4 linked regions of the Arabidopsis thaliana genome follow. The protein of the gene in region 1 interacts with the protein of each later gene in a pairwise test. Each region holds a gene or a part of one and is shown in the gene's direction. Other genes may lie near its edges.

Region 1 (4,836 bases):
GCGTGAAATTAAAAGTTTTCAAGTGATTCTCCAATCAAGTCTGCAATATCAGCGATTTAATTCAAGTTACTTTTGAAGATGATTTTTGAGTTTCTTATTGACAGTGTTCTGAAGAGATACCCATCAAAGTTTGTCGGTTGTTGCCTTGCTAATCCTGCAGAAGATGGCAGTGGAATTACGCACCTTGAGAATCTTGTTTTAGAGGTCTTCCCTTTCACTGTTACTCAAAGCATCTCCAAATATTATATATGCATCTCATTTCTGAGAGTACTTAAATCTTTTTTTGTAGAGTAATTATCGTGCTGTTCGGTTTAATCCCTACTTGTGGCCATCGGGTCAGAAGGTAACAGTTTAACCATTCCAATGACCTTAGATCAAGTTTCCACCGTATTCTGTTGATTGTCAATGACTCAACACAGATGACAAATGCTGTTGGTAAAGCCTTGTTCTCTAAAGCAGGGGAGCTTTGTGTGCCTGTTGGCTTCATGTGCATGAAGGTCTGGTAGTATTTTCACCTTTGTGGTCTCCAAAGTTGTGTGGTTTACGCGAAGTTCTTTCGTTAAGAATCTTGTTTTCTTTATTCAGGGTCTAGATCTTCACATTGCAGAAATTGAGGAACTTTGCACAGAATTTCCAAAGACAACTGTTTTACTAGATCACGCTGGATTCTGCAAAGTACCAGAGTGAGCTGTTCTTTGCTTTTTGTGAAAAATAATCCCGTCCCCTGAAATTCCTATAGAATGTAGTACTAATATTCATGGTTTCAACAACCTGCAGAAGTGGTGAGGCAAAGCTTGCTTATTCTCAACTCATGAAGCTGTCTAGATTTCCACAGGTGAAAAAGAAAAAAAAATTACTTTTAGAATCTGAATTCTCATAGATTATAGATTATACGAGTCTGAGGGAAGAATATTGTAACAAGCAGGTATATGTGAAATTCAGTGCTCTATTCAGGATCTCAAGAACCGGCTTCCCGTATCAGGACCTATCGCCTCTCCTATCTCAACTTGTGTCCCATTTTGGGGCAAATCGTGTCATGTGGGGCAGGTAAACATACTTATTTACCTCGCTTTCCCGACTAAAAACCACAAAAAACCTTCTATATCTACTAACAATACATGATCATATACGGATTGGCTGTTTTCCATCTGCTGCAGTGACTTCCCATTTGTTGTTCTTGAATGTGGATATAAAGAAGCTAAAGAAGCTGTGACTATCATTGCAAAAGAAGCATCCTTGTCAAGTTCTGAGATGGACTGGATTCTGGGAAAGACTCTGATGCAGCTCTTCCCTGGACAATGGGTTCTTCCTTGAGAGGCTTGTCAGAAGTAATAGGTTGCATGCGGATGAGATAATGAAGCAAGCAATGGAAGTTGTATCATTAAAGATACTTAACTCTAGCCTATATATTACCAAACACTAGATGTATACCAATTTAGTAAATCAACAAAAATCTTATGTGTTGATATCATAATGATTCATCGTGAGATGATGGAGGGCCTGGATGTTGATGTGCTCTGATCGAAAATTTCTTCCACAATGGGTGAGCTGCTAGGATCCCCTTTCCGTGTTCAATGAGGTGAGGTGATAATTTATAATCATCGGTGGCTTTGCTGGGACATTTATGAGGGATAAGTTTCAAGAATCAAGCTTCTCTCCAGTAGCTTGTTTTACAAGTAAGTAAGAGTTGGCGTCTCCGGTTATAATTTATACCCGTGTAAGTTAGTTTCATCTATTTACGAAATCGCCATGATGGAGTATCGAGTTGTGCAAGTGATAGCAATGTGGAATTCAAAGAGACAATTGAGTTTTCTTTGAGAATTGAAAGAAGTGGTGATCGAGATTAGTCAGCATTGTAAAACTTGTTTGGGTTGGATTCTTGAAATGTACAAGCGCGGTTTCATATGGTAGAATCGATTCAGAGAGTGTGAAGTGAATTTACACAACTTGCTAAACTAGTAGAGCAAGTGAAGCTCTTAAAAATAGAAATCCTCTCTGCCTAACAACTTTTGTTTTACTCGTCTTAATTATCAACATTAGTTAAACTTCTTTCTTTTATTTAATCTGTGACCATTATTGATTTTATAGCTAATCACATTTTGATCCTTATATAAATGCTACTACTAGTACGATTTTGAGTGGCTTTACTCTACTTTACTTTCCACTTCCTCTTCATCTACTCTTTCTCTCTCTATCTCTTTCCACTTCCTCTTGCTTTTACTCCTGGGTTAGGGTTTAGGGTTTCTTGGTCGACGTGATGAGTCATCGGCGAGATTACGGCAGTGATGCAGTTCACGTGAGAATCACCCACGACCCTCCGCCTGAGAATTGTTTTCCAAATTCCGGCGACAGTTCCGTCTGGGCCACTGAGGATGATTACAGCCGTGTCTGGGCCATAAACTCTGATGGCGCAGAGTCTCCGAGCAAGAAGACACGATCTTCCTCCTCCTCCGAGATCGGGAAATCGTTCTTCAAGACGAAGCTTTGCTTCAAATTCCGCGCCGGAACTTGTCCCTACTCCGCGAGCTCTTGCCACTTTGCTCACAGCGCGGAGGAGCTCCGTCTTCCTCCGCCGCCGCCGCCCAATTGGCAGGAGACGGTGACAGAGGCTTCAAGAAACAGAGAAAGCTTTGCGGTTAGTTTAGGCCCTCGTGGCAATGTTGCTCAGACTCTCAAGTCTCCGAATTGGAAGACAAGGATTTGCAATAAGTGGCAGACTACTGGCTATTGTCCTTTTGGTTCTCACTGCCATTTTGCTCATGGACCTTCAGGTAAAGCTACGGCCTTTTTCATCTATTAGTAACCCCAACGAATGTAGTTTAGAAATGGGTTTTAATCGGTGTTGCTTGATGAACTGTGAGTTTAGAGTGTCACTAGAGGTTAATGGATGCTAATTCTCTGGACTAAGAGATCATCTTTGAACACTAGAACTATCTTTATTAGCTTAAGTTAAGTCTGTTGAATTGTATATGTAATGGTATTGGTTTCCTTGAGGATTCTTTATATGGACTGTGGGTGCCAATTAGTTAATCGTGCTTGGTGAATGGATTGGTGACAATGTCTATTAATGGACTTAAAGTGGATCGAGTGAGATTGTTGAAATGTTTCCTATTGCTACATTGCCATTACGTGATGATGTCAATTGGTTTCTGATTGGAAAGAATTCTTGATCTGCTTGTTCCTAATGGCTATGGAAATGCAGAAAGTTTCAATCGTCGCTAGCTAAAAGTTTGAGTCTTTATGGTATCTTTTGCAGAGTTGCATACATTTGGCGGAGGACTCGTTGAAGGAGAATGTAAGATCGGAACATCCGCCACTTTGGACACAAAGCAGAGAGGACAAGTAGACACAGTGACTAGCCTTGTTTCTCCTGGAGTCTCATCCCAACGGACATCTAGTGCTGTTACGCAGAAACCCAACGGAGTCAGAACTCAACGGAAATGGAAAGGACCAGATAAAATCAGTCGTGTTTATGGTGATTGGATCGACGATATTGAGTAAAGTCACTGCATTTTCACTGATTTGTTGATCAAGGTATAGCTTCTTTTAGACTTGTAACTGTGTGGACATATTAGCTTCCTCCCTTCTGTGGTTGTAGATTGTGACTCACTCAACAAAGACAAAAACTCTCATCTTTTTGTTTATTCTCTTTGTCAATCCTAAATCTAATCTTGCAGAAGATCAAACCGAACTAAATAATGTTGCGTACTTGTAAACCGGATCATCATTGCTACCTAAACCTTTTTCTTTATTTCCATGGTCAATATTAATTTTTCGTTTTGAGTTATTTTTAACAGTAAAATGATTTATTATTAAGACAACGATTTTAACTGTCACAAAAGACTCGCTCAAAATGGTAAGCAAAGCCACTTCTGTCTCTCAGACATAGCCACTTTATTCTCCTCATTTCTCTCTATTAACTTGAACAATAATACTCCTTTTCTCACAAGGATTTGTAAGAACAACCTTTCTTATATCCCAAGCAATCTACGAAACTGGTAGAATCTGGGGGTTTCTCTAATCATCAACCTTCAAATGTCGTCAACAACATCAATAGATTCAATACCAGCTACTGCTGTTTTCCCTAGTGTTTCCATGCCTGTCACCGTAGTTTTGACCGGTGTTCTTCTCTTTGTAATTTTCGCCGGATTCTTCTCTCTTTTCTTATGGCAGTTTCTTCTGAATCGATTATTTACTACTTGGAACCTTCAACGAACACCTTACGGTGACCTAATCCATGTGGCCACTCCGCCTGAAAATACTGGCCTCGACCCGTTTATCATCCGGTCCTTTCCTGTATTCCACTATTCATCTGCAACTAAGAAAAATCATGGGACGGAATGCGCTATTTGCTTGTCAGAGTTTTCAGATGAAGATACAGTTAGGCTCATAACGGTTTGTCGTCATCCCTTTCATTCAAATTGCATTGATCTTTGGTTTGAGTTACACAAGACTTGTCCTGTTTGCCGGTGTGAGTTAGATCCTGGCATGATTGGATCTGGAAGGCTTGAATCATTCCACAACACAGTCACAATTACTATTCAGGACATAAACCATGATGAGGAAAATCCTCCAACCGCTGGTTCAAGCAAAAGGCTAATAGAAGCCTCGGCTTGGCGATTCTCGAGGTCACATTCTACTGGACATTTCATGGTTAAGACTACGGATGCTAATGTGAAGTCCAAAAGAAGGCATTACCAAACAGGAAGCTGTGTCTCGTTCGACGAACTTACTCGGTATGAAGGAGCAGGATGGCAATGGCTTGGTGATTCATCACACATTAGCAGGATTGAAGTATAGTTTACTGAATTTCTGTTACATCTTCATTATTGTGTT
Region 2 (4,531 bases), on another chromosome or scaffold:
GATCATCTGGTTCCACCGTTTTCTACAAGCTTCTCCATCTCGATTCTCCAAAAGATTATCCCAATCCACATCGTCGATACAAGCAGCATCCAGTTTCAAAAGCTCTTCCAAGAGCCTATAGTCATCAACGTTAGCCCACATTCCCTTTGCTACCATTGGTGATATCAACTGCTCATACCATTTCTGGCAGCAAGTCACGTGGTCCCGTGTTTCAAGTACGTCGCTTATAGCCATCCAAGGGATGTTATCTTTGAGCATACCATGTTTTGAGTGTTTCTCTTTGAATGCTTTCATTCTAAGGTCTTTGTTGACAAGGTCAAAGAGGTTTTGATACTCCTCCCTCATCCAATGTCCTTTCTTCTTACCTGCCAATCTTCCTCTCCTCCAAGCGTCTTTCACATGCTTCCTGTGCTTACCCATTGCATCTGCAAGTGTTTTCCAATCATTCCCGTGTGTCTTTTGAAACTCCATAACGAGTTCAATATCCTCTTTCGTCCATATCCCCTGAGATCCTGCTTCAAATATAGTATGTGCACGATGATACACACTATTATAAGTCCTCCAAGGTAAAGCAGATGTAATTTCTTTCCAACAGCCTTTAAGTTGTGGGTATGCCTTGCATTCCATAACCATCTTTATCCCCTCATCTCCTAAAGCATGGTTATCAATGTATTCTAATACAGCATTCTTTACCATCTCATCTTCTTCTTTTGTAAACCGCTTACCCCTCACCACCTTAACTTCTTCTTCATCATCATCTTCCGTTCCTTCATCATCATCACTAGGAAAAAACTCCACTTGGTCAGAAAACTTCACCCTTTTACTTGATGTAGATGGGGTGGTCAAGTCTTCATCACTTTTATCAGACTTTTCTTCAGCCTCAGAGACTTCACTTTGCTTCTTCTTCTTCTTCTTCTTCCTTCTCTTCTTTGCGTCTTTGGTAGAGTTCAAGCCGTTTTCTTCAGTCTCTGAATCCTCACTTTGTTTCTTTTTCTTCCTTTTCTTCTTTCCATCATTTGTAGAGTCCAAATTGATATCTTCAACATCTGAATCCACACTTGGTTTCTTCTTGTTGTTCTTCCTCTTCACCTCCTTGTCTATGTTTTCTTCAGCTCCCAAATCAGTATCATCCCGCTTTCTTTTTCCCTTTTTCTTATCAGATACTTTGGAGCTTTCAGTATTTTCTATCACATCACCACCAGATTCTTTCTTGCTCTTCTTCTTCTTCCTCTTCACACCATCATGAGCTTCAGAATCAACCTTTGTCTCCTTACTTTTCTCCTTGGATTTCTTCTCCACACCATCATCCTCAGCTTCGGAATCAGCCTTTGTCTCCTTACTTCTCTTTTTCGATTTCTTCTTCACAGCATCAACAGCTTCAGAATCAATCCTTATTGGCTTCTTCGACTTCTTCTTCTTCTTAACTATAAAAACCTCATCACCTAGTTTCTCACTTTCACGCCCAGTTATCTCCATATCTTCTCCAGTAAAACCATCCTTATTCTCTCGCTTATTCTTCTTCCTCTTCTTTTCCTTATCCTTCATAGAACTGTGCTCGGAAATGAATTCTTCACCGGTTTCTTCAGAATCAACCTTAGCGTCACTCTTTTTCTTCTTATTCTTCTTCTCCTCAGCCATCTCATATACCGGCGGACACGGTTACGAAACCCTAATCACAAAAACCGCCGCGACTTTCGCTCAAATCTAAATCCGAATTTCGATTGAGTGATTTTAAGACACAGCGATGCTGAGATTGATTGTGAAGGAGCTTTTGGATACGGCGGCTTCCTTCATGAATTTGAGATGATTAGGGTATTTAATTACTTTTGTTAAAAAAAATTCCTTTGAACTTGGGTCTTCAATGACCCACTACCCATATTTGGGGCTTGAGTACTACTAGGCCCAACGTATTGCTCTTGACGTTATCAAGTTTTAACAAGAGTTTGATCTAATTTCTATCACTTATGTTACAACTTACAAAGTTGGTGGTTATATTGTGAAATTTCTAAATGATTTGGAAGAAAAAGAAATCAAATAATTACTACTAGAATAAATCAGTATATAAGAGACCTTGGGAAAAGTATTTAAAAATGTAGAATCTTCTTGGATTAACTTCAATGTTTTGTGTGGTGGAGTTTGGATCTTACATGATCATTTGGGACAAAGCTAGTTTTCATCAAAGGGATGCAATTGAAGAACATACTAAACATATATAATCGAAAACTGATATAAAAAAACATAAACACAAAGGTTTGTTTTGAGTTTTGACCTTATTATCAAGTGATGAAAGAATGTAAAACTTAGTTTTTAATGATGTTGATAACCTCTTTTGATTTAAATAAATTCTTTTTAATGTGTGATTTATGCTCAAAACTAAATTTTTCTAATGTTTTCATATTATTTAATTTTGCCCTTGTTAACTCTCATGGATGTTGCCATGTTGATTTGATTGAGCTTTGGATTGGAATTTTTTTTTTTATTTTTTTTTTTTTTTTTTTTTCTTTGGATTGGAATTCATTCGGTAAGTAAGAATATTTCGTGATTATAGAACTTCTAATTATGTAAAAAAAATAAAATAATGCGTGAAAATAATAAAAAGTTGTTACCCTTTTTTTTTACTTAGGTCAAGAGGTCACAACACACGCCCCACCTTGAATCTGAGAGAGAGAGAGAAGTACGTCCCCACACCTTGACATGGTCATGGAGCCCAAGAAGAACCAAAATCTACCAAGTTTCTTAAACCCATCACGACAGAATCAGGACAACGACAAGAAGAGGAAACAAACAGAGGTTAAAGGTTTCGACATTGTGGTCGGCGAAAAGAGGAAGAAGAAGGAGAATGAAGAGGAAGACCAAGAAATTCAGATTCTTTATGAGAAGGAGAAGAAGAAACCAAACAAAGATCGTCACCTTAAAGTTGAAGGAAGAGGTCGTAGAGTTAGGTTACCTCCACTCTGTGCAGCAAGGATTTATCAATTGACTAAAGAATTAGGTCACAAATCAGATGGTGAGACTCTTGAATGGTTGCTTCAACATGCTGAGCCATCGATACTCTCTGCTACTGTAAATGGTATCAAACCCACTGAGTCTGTTGTTTCTCAACCTCCTCTCACGGCTGATTTGATGATTTGTCATAGCGTTGAAGAAGCTTCAAGGACTCAAATGGAGGCAAATGGGTTGTGGAGAAATGAAACAGGACAGACCATTGGAGGGTTTGATCTGAATTACGGAATTGGGTTTGATTTCAATGGTGTTCCAGAGATTGGTTTTGGAGATAATCAAACGCCTGGACTTGAATTAAGGCTGTCTCAAGTTGGGGTTTTGAATCCACAGGTTTTTCAACAAATGGGTAAAGAACAGTTCAGGGTTCTTCATCATCATTCACATGAAGATCAGCAGCAGAGTGCAGAGGAAAATGGTTCATAAAGCTCAAACCTTTAAATGGCTTTTAATTAGATATATTTAGCGAGAATGTGATTGCTAGTGAAATCTCAAACTTGATAGCTTATTCATAGCTTATTTTACTTCGATCAGCAAGAGAACAATGGTTCCTAAAGCTCAAACCTTTTTTGGCGTTTGCTTTAGATTGTGCATACATAAAGTGAGAAGATGAAATATGGTTTTGCTGAAATCTCAATGTGCTCATTCATAGTTTATTTTGCTCGACCTTTCTTTAATCAATAGCTTTGATGTACTGATTACTTTATAAAGTTAAGAAGTAAGTTCTGCTCTTTAAACTGTACTGAATGGAGGCTTCTCTGCATAATTAAGCAAACACTCTGATGATTGAGTTTCGTTGTACAAAGGAAAGTTTTTGCCTTAGTTAGAAATTCATCTTGTTTCTTTGCCCAGAAGCTGGCTTGCTGATAGAATTTGGACTACGCTACGTTTTCTTGGGTGAAAAACAATCCGCGTCCTTCCACGAGAACAGTGAAACTGTACGATGTTCTTATTGTATTGTGTCAACAGCCCATAATCAATGAAATGGGCCTCAATGACAGTATAAGCCGAAAAATATTCGAATGCGATCTAGAACTAATCTGAAACCAAACTTCTCAAATCATTAACATTTGATTAGGGCCTAAAAGTCCATCCGTATTTTAAAAAAAAGTTGATAACAAATGCAAAAATACAAATATACATTACTATTAAAACTCAATCTTTCTGATTATATGTGGATGGAGAAGCTGTTTTGCAGTGTGGATTTGAATTTTGAAGTTCTTGTTCAAAAAAGAAAAGAAACTTGGTCAAGCTTCAAAAGAAAGAAAGAAATAAAGACAAGTATACAAATACGTTGACTTCAATTAATATGAAGATAGAAGAGAAAGATATAGAAATGCGTTTTAAATTGGCGGTGGGAGATATGTGATTCCCTTGGTCCCGCTTTCTCGTTTGATTCGGTAACCTAAACCTTCTCCATCCAAGAAGACACAAACAAGGAAGAAATTAACCTACGTACGTACATCATTTGAACTACTTATATCTATTATAAATGGAAAATCTATTTTCTTCTTCTCTCTCTTTTAACCGA
Region 3 (5,829 bases), on another chromosome or scaffold:
TATTATACGAATGCCAAATCTCGATATAACAATTTAATTAAAGTAATAAATGTTAATGAATTTAGGACATTTCAACCATATATTTACTCTATCACCAATATCTACATCTTACTTGCCCCATACTCACCCTTAATTAGTACGAACAGAAATTTCAAGTAACTACGAGACTCTCACACATCTGACATCTTAATTCTCAAAATATTCAGACAAACAACACCTTTTGAACTTTAAACGATCCACAACAAAAACAGAACAATTGTTATATATATATATATATATATATATATAAAAGAACCAAAAACAATATAAGAAAACCAAAGTGAAACAATTTGTTTCGGAAAGACATTAGACAATATGCAAATGATTAATGCCAAATGAAGACATTATACTCGACCACGGCATCTAGACCAACAATCTTATAAGTCTTGGGCAGTGCATAGCCTCTAGCAAACCTGAAAGCACCAGTTCCTCCAATAATCGGCAACTCTCTCACCTTCGAAAATATATCATTCCGTCCATACACCGCGATGGTGCTTCCATTAAACTCTCCTGCCGTGAAAACATAGTTAAAGACCATTGTGAAGACTATGTCCTTCATGGCTGTTGATGCGTACATCCCCTGAGCTCTTCCCACTTCCTTTGAGCTCGGGTCTGGTCCTTCGGTCAACGGATCATCAGCGATCATAATCACGCCAAACTTGACGTTGAGGGTGGTTGTTGGGCGGGCTTCGGCAACTTTGACGGCGGTAGGTTTGTCACCGGAGATGACGTCATGGAAGTAGAAGTGGAGGTGGGTGAATTTCTCCGGCTTGTAGCCTTGATACGGCGTTGTTGTGGAGTAAGCTGTGACGGACACGGCAAGAAGAAGAATAGATGACAAAAGAGGAAGAAGAAGCAGAAAACGTTTAGCCATGTTCGTTGTTTGTAGCTATGGAAATGTGAAAATGTGATTTATATATATACACAAAACATGATCGTTACGCAATTGTTGGCTCATAAAACATTTGAATATGTCGTTTCTCGATTGGTGACAACAACATGTCCGTTGACGTGGAAGTAAACTAGGTGGTTCGATTTATAAACAACTAGATATTTCCACTTGTACGAATCATGATATAAACTGGCAAATATATAAGGATGCACGACGAAAGAAAAACAAAACAAATAAGAATAAAACAAGATTCTGCATTGTGATACACTACATATAAATATATAAAGAAAGATATATAGTAGATGCATATAATTGAAATTAAGATCAAAGATGTACATAGACATTGATGTTTAAATTTAGGATTGTCAATCTGTATATATGTACCTAAGATATATATTAATATATACATATGGTTCCAAACTCAATACCAGTGTTCTCTAATTAATGATCTTATATTTTGTACACTGAATTAATCATCCACTGAGTCCCAAAAGAGGAGGGCATAGGTGCGACGGGCTAGAGTTAAATCATAAAATAGATTAAAAACAATACATGATATTTGAAACAATGATCAATGACAAGACTTTAGTTTTCTTGCAAAAAGTATATAACTTATTTTAGAAACTCCTTGAATTTTGTTATAAAACAAAATTGGTAGTTGCATAATTTTTTTTTTTCAAAAAATAAAACAACGATCAAGAATTTTGGTAGTTGCATAATTTTGAAGTACAGTTGTGCTAGTTACTCAATTAAACTTAAAATATATTATATCAATTGTTTGGAATAACATTCATCTTTCGTCTTCTCAGTTTACTTGGAATGCACGAGAGCTTTCTCGTTGTGAGAATAACTCTTGGGTCATGCCTAATGAGAAATGCATGGGGACGAGAATCCTCTGTCGAGTTAAAAAGTATCAATGTCTTAAGGCTACTATTAATAAAACAAATCTATTATTCAGATCAAGTAGGTGCTCTGTTTTAGGCTGCAGGAATCCACGTTCACATGGCGTCAAAGTTAAGTACGTTGGGGCATCAAATGTTGTTTGTGATAAAATCTCATAACAAATGTGCTACTATCTAATTATAGAGTCGATTGTTCTGAGGAAAGGTAACGTTTTATTGATATTTGGCGACCGAGACTGAAGTTTCAAAAAGGCCATATTAATATTGATCGTAAAATGTTAAATTATATATAAACTGTAATGACCACACCAGCCACACTTTAAATTTTATATAAAAATAATCTAACTGGTAATTACATAATAATACTAATAGACATTTTTTATTTTATTTTTTTCCAATTGGTCACCTAATTTTCAACAACAACAGTGCAACAGTAAAACACTTACCAAATGGGTGAAAAAAGAGTTAAAAGTTTAAAAATTTGTTTTTACCAAACGTAAAAACAGTTAGAAAGAAAGAAATCCATCTTCCTCTTCCCCGATCTGTTTCTTCCACAAAGATATTTTTCTTTATTCTCTCGCAGTTCAATTAGGGTTTCAATCTCTCTGCTCTGCTTGTCATCACCACCACCACCACCACCGTCGTCGTCTCTCTGTATCTCTCCGGCGGGTTCTCTCTCTACTTCCCCCGGTAAACTTCGCTTACTCTTCCACCATCTTCTTTCTCTCTTCGCCGCCCCTTTTCATTTCACTTTTTTCTCCAAGTTCTTACCAAGCTTCTAAGCTCATTTCCTATTAATCGAAGCTCGTTTGAAGTAATTAGGGCTTGGCTGAATCCTAATTGCTGAATTAAGTTACTCGATTTGATTCCAAATGGCTAAATCCTAATTTTGATGAGCTTTGCCTGTTTCTATCGACATTAGAGTTGGAGAATTTTTGGATTGTTTCTTTCTTTTGGATAGTGTATCGAACCAGATTTTGTGGTTTTAGAGTTCTTATTGATCATCATGAGTAGGCGATTTTGTGTTTTGTGTTTTCCCAAATTAGCTTTTGATGATTATCACTATGACTATAATCGATGATACTGTGTTTCTTTTAGCTGAGTTTGATATCTCACAGAGTTTATGTGTATTGGTTAGAATCGATTGATTGATGTGCAAATCCTGAAACAAAATGGTACCATTTCGATATTAATGTTGCTATTTTTAGTCATCTGAGTTTGAGTGTTTTTGTTGAAAGTTTTTCAGAAAATACTCATAGATGGACAAACAATTGTTTGCTTTGTCTCTGCTGAATCATATTCTGGAACTCAAGTATAGATTTTTTTTTTGCTTCATAGTCGTTTATGTATGTTCACTAATACTAGCAATGCTTTGGTGATTGGCTATTTTGCTTCATAGTAGTTTATTTATGAAATGGTCTTTTTTGACACTGTTTAATGATTGGCTATGTGCAGGAGGATTAAAAGATGGACCAGTCTTTTATTTTGATATTCCGTTAGCTTGTTCAGTTATTGTAGAAGCTGTACCGTCAAGACTTTTAATATCTCAAATGGATGATGGTGGGCATCGTGAGAATGGTCGGCATAAAGCAGCAGTTCAGGGCCAGGTACCTTGACAATCCCAAAGCTAAATCAGTTGTTTTCCTTTCTCTGCTCTATATATACATCTTATGGGTGTTCATCATGCTTGCGGCTAAACACCTCAGATTTGAGACTGTTTTTGATGGGAATGTATGATTTGTTCATGATGTAAAACAGTGGTTGATGCAGCATCAGCCGTCGATGAAACAAGTGATGTCGATAATAGCAGAGCGCGATGCAGCGATTCAGGAGAGAAATCTGGCGATATCAGAGAAAAAAGCAGCAGTAGCTGAAAGGGACATGGCGTTTCTTCAGAGGGACACCGCCATTGCTGAGCGCAACAATGCGATAATGGAGAGAGACAGTGCTCTTACAGCACTCCAATACCGTGAGAACTCTATGGTTACTGCTCCTGCTGCCAATATGTCAGCATGTCCACCAGGATGTCAAATATCACGTGGTGTAAAACACTTGCACCATCCGCACATGCATCATCATCATCAACAACATCACATACCTCAGTTGACTGAAAATGCATATGAAACCAGAGAGATGGAGCCAAATGATGGTCTCCCAACATCACCACCTGCCGGATCCACCTTGGAATCTGCCAAACCAAAACGTGGTAAAAGAGTGAACCCAAAGGCGACAACACAAACTGCTGCTAATAAGAGAGGGCCAAAAAATCAGAGGAAGGTTAAGAAAGAGAGCGAGGACGACTTAAACAAGATAATGTTTGTAAAGACGACCCATGACTACACAGACGAAGATTCAAGTAAGCATATCTTAATAGGATCAAAATCTGACTGGAAAAGTCAAGAAATGGTGGGGCTGAACCAAGTGGTTTACGACGAGACAACGATGCCACCACCTGTATGTTCATGTACAGGAGTTCTCAGACAGTGCTACAAATGGGGAAATGGAGGTTGGCAATCATCGTGTTGCACAACTACACTATCAATGTATCCTTTACCTGCACTGCCCAACAAAAGGCATGCTCGAGTTGGTGGACGGAAAATGAGCGGAAGCGCGTTCAACAAGCTTCTAAGCCGGCTTGCTGCAGAAGGGCATCATGATCTTTCAAACCCGGTCGATCTGAAGGACCATTGGGCAAAGCACGGTACAAACCGCTACATTACGATTAAATGATATGTGCATTTAGGTGTGAGTTGTTCTTACGACATTATCTGATTTTAAATCATGTGTACTAAATTCAAATAAACTCGAGAGGAAAAGAATTGTATGTGGAGCCAATGTTATGTTGTATTATATAATTCGAAAATTTTTAGTAACATCACAAACCGTAGAATTATTATTTTTTGTTCACATCAACAAAGAAAAACTAGACAACTTTTTCTTTTGAACTGATACTGAATCATGGATGGAATGTGAGCTATTTCACTCACCTACAACTTACGGACTGTGTGAACAAATGGATCTGATCATATCTATCAATTTGGAATTTTTGATAAAGAAATCACAAATGATTAGTCTAGGGAGATTTCACTGTGATATACGACTCGAGAGTTTTCTCTGCTTTTTTTGTGGGACCTATATATTTTATTTATTAAGAAAAAACATTATGTTTCATTAAAAATAAACCAATCAGTCGCACTAAAATAATCTAAATACTGTATAAACAAAAAATAAAATGATAAAAACATTAAAAGCTATGATGTATTTATTAGTATAAATACTTTTGATGTTTAAATTTATAATAATATAATTGAGAGTCAAATAATTTTTGTTTTCGTTTTTATTTAATATATTAATTTTGAAAAATAAAATAACTAATATAATAAGAAAATATGAAAAACAATTCTATGCCCAAATTAAATGAAACAAGTTTCTATCTACAGAATATGAAAATGCTGAATTTAAGTGTAAATTATTTATATATAATTGATTTTAAAAATTGATATAAATAATAAGTGTAAATTATTTATATATAATTAACTCAAATTTCACGCAGATAAGTAGCATTTAAAAATTCATTATATTTTCTTTTGATACAACTTAGAACAATCTATTATTAGTAGTGTGCTGCGTCTACTCCAAGTTTTGTTGGCGTGATGACAACTACATAACAATAAATGTTGTGAGTACAAGCAAAACATCAAACAAATGAAATTGACAAATAATATTACAAATGATTTAGACACTAAGAGTGTAATATTAACCAACAAAACGTTCAAAAACACATCCCAACAGAGAGCCATGACACGACAACACCAGAAATATCACTATCCTTAAATGAGAGTAAAGATTTAGGACAACACGGTAAGTTATTCAAGTTCTAACCAGAAATTATGCATTGATCCATATCTCTTTTCCACTTTACATTTTCACTCCTTTGTAAAGGAGTGAAAACGAAAAATGGAAGAGTGATATGGATAATACATAGCATCTGGTTGG
Region 4 (5,290 bases), on another chromosome or scaffold:
GCTCCCTGAGAATTTTAAGGACCGGAGAGTTTATGGTTCCCTCCTCAATGCCTATGTGAGGGCCAAGTCGAGAGAAAAGGCTGAAGCCCTGCTCAACACCATGAGGGACAAAGGTTACGCCCTGCACCCGCTTCCCTTCAACGTCATGATGACTCTCTACATGAACCTCAGGGAGTATGACAAAGTCGACGCTATGGTCTTCGAGATGAAGCAGAAAGATATACGTCTCGACATTTACTCCTACAACATCTGGCTCTCCTCTTGCGGCTCCTTAGGATCAGTTGAGAAAATGGAACTAGTGTATCAGCAGATGAAATCGGATGTTTCCATTTATCCCAACTGGACCACGTTTAGCACAATGGCCACAATGTACATAAAGATGGGTGAAACTGAGAAAGCCGAAGATGCACTGAGGAAGGTTGAAGCAAGGATTACTGGTCGTAATCGCATTCCGTATCACTACCTCTTGAGTTTGTATGGCAGCCTTGGTAACAAGAAAGAGCTGTACCGAGTCTGGCACGTCTACAAATCTGTTGTCCCGAGCATTCCCAATTTGGGTTACCATGCCTTGGTCTCGTCGCTGGTGAGGATGGGAGACATTGAAGGGGCCGAGAAGGTATATGAGGAATGGCTTCCAGTCAAGTCTTCTTATGACCCCAGGATACCAAATCTTCTGATGAATGCGTATGTCAAAAACGACCAACTAGAGACAGCTGAGGGGTTGTTCGACCACATGGTTGAAATGGGAGGAAAACCAAGTTCAAGTACGTGGGAGATTCTAGCTGTTGGTCATACCAGAAAGAGGTGTATTTCAGAGGCTTTGACTTGTCTTAGAAATGCTTTTTCGGCTGAAGGGTCCAGCAATTGGAGGCCCAAGGTGTTGATGCTGTCTGGTTTCTTCAAGCTCTGTGAAGAGGAATCGGATGTTACCAGTAAAGAGGCCGTTTTGGAATTGTTAAGGCAGTCGGGGGATCTTGAAGACAAATCTTACCTAGCTCTTATTGATGTGGACGAAAACAGAACAGTAAACAACAGTGAAATCGATGCCCATGAGACCGATGCGCTTCTAACACAGCTACAAGATGATTTGTAATCTGATAGTCCTAGATCTTTGCTTTAAAAAACGAATCTTGTAACCGGAGTCAACTGAGGAAATGCGAAATATGTATAATGTACACAAGAGACTGCCTAGTGAAACATGAATGTAAGAGCTGTGTCCCTTTTTGTGACAGCTATTTGGAATTAGTGTTGCTTAGGGAACTGGATTAGCCTTTGTTCTCTTGTTTGATTGTTGTTACTTGTTAAGACTAATATTGGAGAGGTTAGGTTGTGCTCTTTTATTTTGGGCCGGACGGATAAAAGGCCCGATATTGAATATATAAGTCTGAGAGTCTCAAAGGCCCATCTCCATTAAGATATCTTCGCGGAATCGGTTGTGAGAGAGAGAGACGGTGATCGGGAAATGTCGACGAAAGGCGCGGCGGCGGCGTACCCTAGCGCGGCTCGGATATCTGATTCTCCATGTTATCTTCAGTACTCTGCTTCTCTCAAATGTGAGTCATGCTCCTGATCTCACCCTTTGTGATTGTTTCTTCGAGGATAGGATTTGACATGTTATCTTCAGTACTGTCAAGTTCCATAACGAATTAGCATTGATTAGATCTCATCTATTTCATTATGCTTCCTCAAGGTGATTAGATTAGTGGGTTGAATCCCATGTCAGTGATTCGATTTAGGTCCCATCAATTGATAACGTCGGGTTTGATTCCTGATTGTTTATGTGTTTCCGTTTTCATTAGTTATGCCTCTTAGCTTGACCCCTTGATTTCTTATCAGGTCTTGAAGAATTTGGATCAGACAAGAGTAAATGCCAGGATCATTTTGATGTGTACAAGGAATGCAAGAAGAAAGAGGTTGTTGTTGTGAATGAATATTTAGGCTTTTGGCGTTTCCAACTTCTTTGCTGCTTTACCTATGTGTTATTTTGTTTCTCAGAGGGAAGCTCGACTGGAACGCAATAAGACACGGTCGTTGTTCTCGTGAATGCAGATCCTCGAATACCAATGATGTCTCAGAACATCACCTAGCTAGTAGTATCCTGTTGTTTCATTTGCAATGGCTGTGTTTGTATGATCTATCTAAGTAAACAAGTGGAAAGTGTTTGTTAATGTTACTTTTTACTCCCCATTGGTGAATCATGGTGTATACCTGTTAAACTTTGAGAGCAAGTGGTTATTTATTTAGTTAGAGAGTTAGAGCTTCTCCACCACCATATTGAATAAGAAGATCTTTCTCTCATTCTTTTACTTTACTCTGGCGTCTGAAACAGATCCAGGGATTCCAGTAGTGAATTGGGCTTAAAAACTGTTATATGGGCTTTCGAAAGTAAAAGGTTCGGTGAGCTGCCAAAGAAAAGTCAGATGCCTTTAATCGCATTTGACGACGATTCTTTACGTGCGCCATTGACTGCATCGTCGTCTTCCTCACGCGATTTGGTAATCCGATTCGTCTTCATCTGATTCCCTCCCTTCCGAGAATAATAATGTACCCGCCACCTCCCTCAAGCATCTACGCTCCTCCGATGCTGGTGAATTGCTCCGGTTGCCGGACGCCTCTCCAGCTCCCATCCGGCGCCCGATCTATTCGCTGCGCTCTCTGCCAGGCTGTTACTCATATCGCCGACCCTCGCACCGCCCCTCCTCCGCAACCTTCCTCCGCCCCTTCTCCGCCTCCCCAAATCCACGCGCCTCCCGGTCAGCTGCCTCACCCCCATGGCAGGAAGAGGGCCGTGATCTGTGGCATCTCGTATCGTTTCTCTCGCCACGAGCTCAAAGGCTGCATCAACGACGCCAAGTGCATGCGTCACCTTCTCATCAACAAATTCAAATTCTCCCCAGATTCAATTCTCATGCTTACCGGTACAGAGTATTTCTATCTTTTCAAATGCCTATGTTTGCTACTATACTACTATTCCTTGGATTTTGAATACAATTTTCCTTGGCCTCTTCAATCTGATAAACACACATTCCAAGTTACCATTTCGAACCACTTTGATAAAAATGTGTTGCATTCCATAGCTGACTAACTAATTGTTCATCATGGATGGTTTTCATTCTCAGAGGAAGAAACTGATCCATATCGTATCCCGACCAAGCAAAACATGAGGATGGCATTGTATTGGCTCGTACAGGGATGCACAGCAGGCGACTCACTTGTCTTCCACTACTCTGGTCATGGTTCGCGTCAAAGAAACTACAACGGTGATGAAGTTGATGGCTATGATGAAACACTCTGTCCTCTGGATTTTGAAACTCAGGGGATGATTGTAGACGATGAGATCAACGCAACCATTGTACGCCCTCTTCCACATGGTGTCAAGCTCCATTCAATTATCGATGCTTGCCATAGTGGTACCGTTCTGGATTTACCCTTCCTATGCAGAATGAACAGGTTATTAGTCCCTCAACCGCTTCTAAAAGGGATGTTGCTTACCTCTCTCGTTATATTTAACATACATCCATTTTTTTTTTTAATTGAAACAGAGCTGGGCAGTATGTGTGGGAGGATCATCGGCCTAGGTCAGGTTTGTGGAAAGGAACTGCTGGTGGAGAAGCCATTTCAATTAGTGGATGTGATGATGATCAGACTTCGGCCGACACATCAGTAAGTAGAACGACTCTAATCATACGTCTTGCTGTTGTAGTTGGTTCCTCCTCTCATGATTAAAACACATACACAGGCGCTGTCGAAGATCACGTCTACGGGTGCTATGACTTTCTGTTTTATTCAAGCAATTGAACGCAGCGCACAAGGCACAACCTATGGAAGCCTTCTGAATTCTATGCGCACCACAATAAGGAATACAGGGAATGATGGTGGTGGTAGTGGTGGAGTTGTGACGACTGTGCTGAGCATGCTTCTGACAGGGGGAAGTGCGATTGGGGGATTAAGACAGGTAAAATTCTTTCTTGCTCTCTTGTGTTGATACAGATCGATAAATGTTTTCTTAAATCTGTTTTTTGACAGGAGCCTCAACTGACTGCTTGCCAAACATTCGATGTCTATGCAAAGCCTTTCACTCTCTAGTAAAGGACAAGTCACTTTTTATGTATAGCGAGTGTGATTTGAGAATCCGTCCATATAACCACCTTTTGTTTCTTATTTTTATTTTTCTTTCAAAAGAATAAAGGAAAACATTGATTTGGTGATTCGATAACAAAATGTGCCATCTATTCTTTAGTCTTTACAAACAAGCAGCAAATGGTTTGCCTTTCAGAATCAAAATTTAAGGTGTTTCTCGAATAGACAGAAGGAAGAGAAGAGAAGTCCCAGAAAGCTGTTCAGAAGGCGCATACAAATCATGTGTGCGTTGCTGCTGCAAGGAAAAGCACTTCCGCTGTAGCAGCCTGTTCTTTGTTTGATACCCCGGCCGTTATCTTCCAGTACAAAGGAGGAGTTTTTCACACCATCGCTAAAGAGAAGACACCAAAAGAAGGTACCTTTATGCAACCTAGCCATTCCCACTCCAACCTCGGTATGCGACCTGTTTCTGAGCACCGACAACGCACTGCTATCTCTAAAGAGAATGTCTGAGAAAGCGACTTCTGGTGCTGCATACTTAGAGCTGCAGCCGAGGATATGGCCAGTTATGGTACCAAAAGTGGGGAGTTCTACACCACAGTTTGGGGCAAACACCTGAGTGAAGTCGTCTTCAGGGTGTTCACAGCTGAGAGTGTTGTTGACATTGCAATTCCCCTCGCAGAGCTCAACATACTGGAGGGCCATGCAGCCAAGACCGGGACTCTCATTTAGTTTGCCTAGTTTCCGAGCTGTTCTGTTCTGGTTCAAGATGCTCACCATTTCATGAGCTGAGTTTCCTGCAACCATTCTAACTAACACTTAGTCCGCCTAAAACGAATCAACATAATATAAACTGTCGAATCTGGTTCTGACTAAAGAAAGCGAACTCGAGATTAAATCAGAGGGAGTGGCTGTAAATTCAAAATAAAGCCTGGCCAAATGCTGAACGAGAAATCCAAGTCTATATTCGCATATGTTATGAGGGGATAAAGCAAGGAGTTACCGTGCAATTTGGAGCTAGCTAGCACTGATGAGAGTGACAGAAACAGTAAAATCAACTCCAAAATGCTGATTTCGTTCTTCATATCGTGTTTTATCCTCTGAATTCCCAGCGTAATAGCTCGAGCTGGCGGATTTTCGAAAAATCGAGAAAAACAAAAAACAGAAAAGGAGAAAGTTTTTGAAAGGAGATGAGCTTGATGGAGATGTT

Evidence for each region.
Region 2: the proteins of AT2G35430 (region 1) and AT5G41030 interact in a two-hybrid assay, tested with the Arabidopsis thaliana proteins (one large-scale study listed by BioGRID).
Region 3: the proteins of AT2G35430 (region 1) and BPC6 interact in a two-hybrid assay, tested with the Arabidopsis thaliana proteins (one large-scale study listed by BioGRID).
Region 4: the proteins of AT2G35430 (region 1) and MC1 interact in a two-hybrid assay, tested with the Arabidopsis thaliana proteins (one large-scale study listed by BioGRID).

Annotation. Positions count from the first base shown.
Region 1 is NC_003071.7:14,899,679-14,904,514, reverse strand, and holds AT2G35430 (Zinc finger C-x8-C-x5-C-x3-H type family protein), read left to right. Parts: upstream 1-2,129; 5' UTR 2,130-2,257; coding exon 2,258-2,771; intron 2,772-3,256; coding exon 3,257-3,501; 3' UTR 3,502-3,811; downstream 3,812-4,836. Other genes in the region: AT2G35450 (catalytic/ hydrolase), read left to right, coding at 105-204, 290-343, 420-497, 586-683, 778-835, 926-1,047, 1,158-1,314; AT2G35420 (RING/U-box superfamily protein), read left to right, coding at 4,036-4,800.
Region 2 is NC_003076.8:16,426,012-16,430,542, forward strand, and holds AT5G41030 (TCP family transcription factor), read left to right. Parts: upstream 1-2,694; coding exon 2,695-3,426; 3' UTR 3,427-3,668; downstream 3,669-4,531. Other genes in the region: AT5G41020 (myb family transcription factor), read right to left, coding at 1-1,638; AT5G41025 (uncharacterized protein), read left to right, coding at 668-940, 1,179-1,424.
Region 3 is NC_003076.8:16,997,904-17,003,732, forward strand, and holds BPC6 (basic pentacysteine 6), read left to right. Parts: upstream 1-2,355; 5' UTR 2,356-2,523; intron 2,524-3,288; 5' UTR 3,289-3,383; coding exon 3,384-3,440; intron 3,441-3,591; coding exon 3,592-4,563; 3' UTR 4,564-4,704; downstream 4,705-5,829. Other genes in the region: AT5G42510 (Disease resistance-responsive (dirigent-like protein) family protein), read right to left, coding at 365-913. UniProt on the Arabidopsis thaliana protein: Transcriptional regulator that specifically binds to GA-rich elements (GAGA-repeats) present in regulatory sequences of genes involved in developmental processes.
Region 4 is NC_003070.9:409,341-414,630, forward strand, and holds MC1 (metacaspase 1), read left to right. Parts: upstream 1-2,323; 5' UTR 2,324-2,542; coding exon 2,543-2,918; intron 2,919-3,119; coding exon 3,120-3,450; intron 3,451-3,542; coding exon 3,543-3,663; intron 3,664-3,739; coding exon 3,740-3,955; intron 3,956-4,026; coding exon 4,027-4,086; 3' UTR 4,087-4,214; downstream 4,215-5,290. Other genes in the region: AT1G02150 (Tetratricopeptide repeat (TPR)-like superfamily protein), read left to right, coding at 1-1,093; AT1G02160 (Cox19 family protein (CHCH motif)), read left to right, coding at 1,463-1,553, 1,837-2,021; AT1G02180 (ferredoxin-like protein), read right to left, coding at 4,279-4,877, 5,084-5,165. UniProt on the Arabidopsis thaliana protein: Cysteine protease that cleaves specifically after arginine or lysine residues. Does not cleave caspase-specific substrates. Acts as a positive regulator of cell death.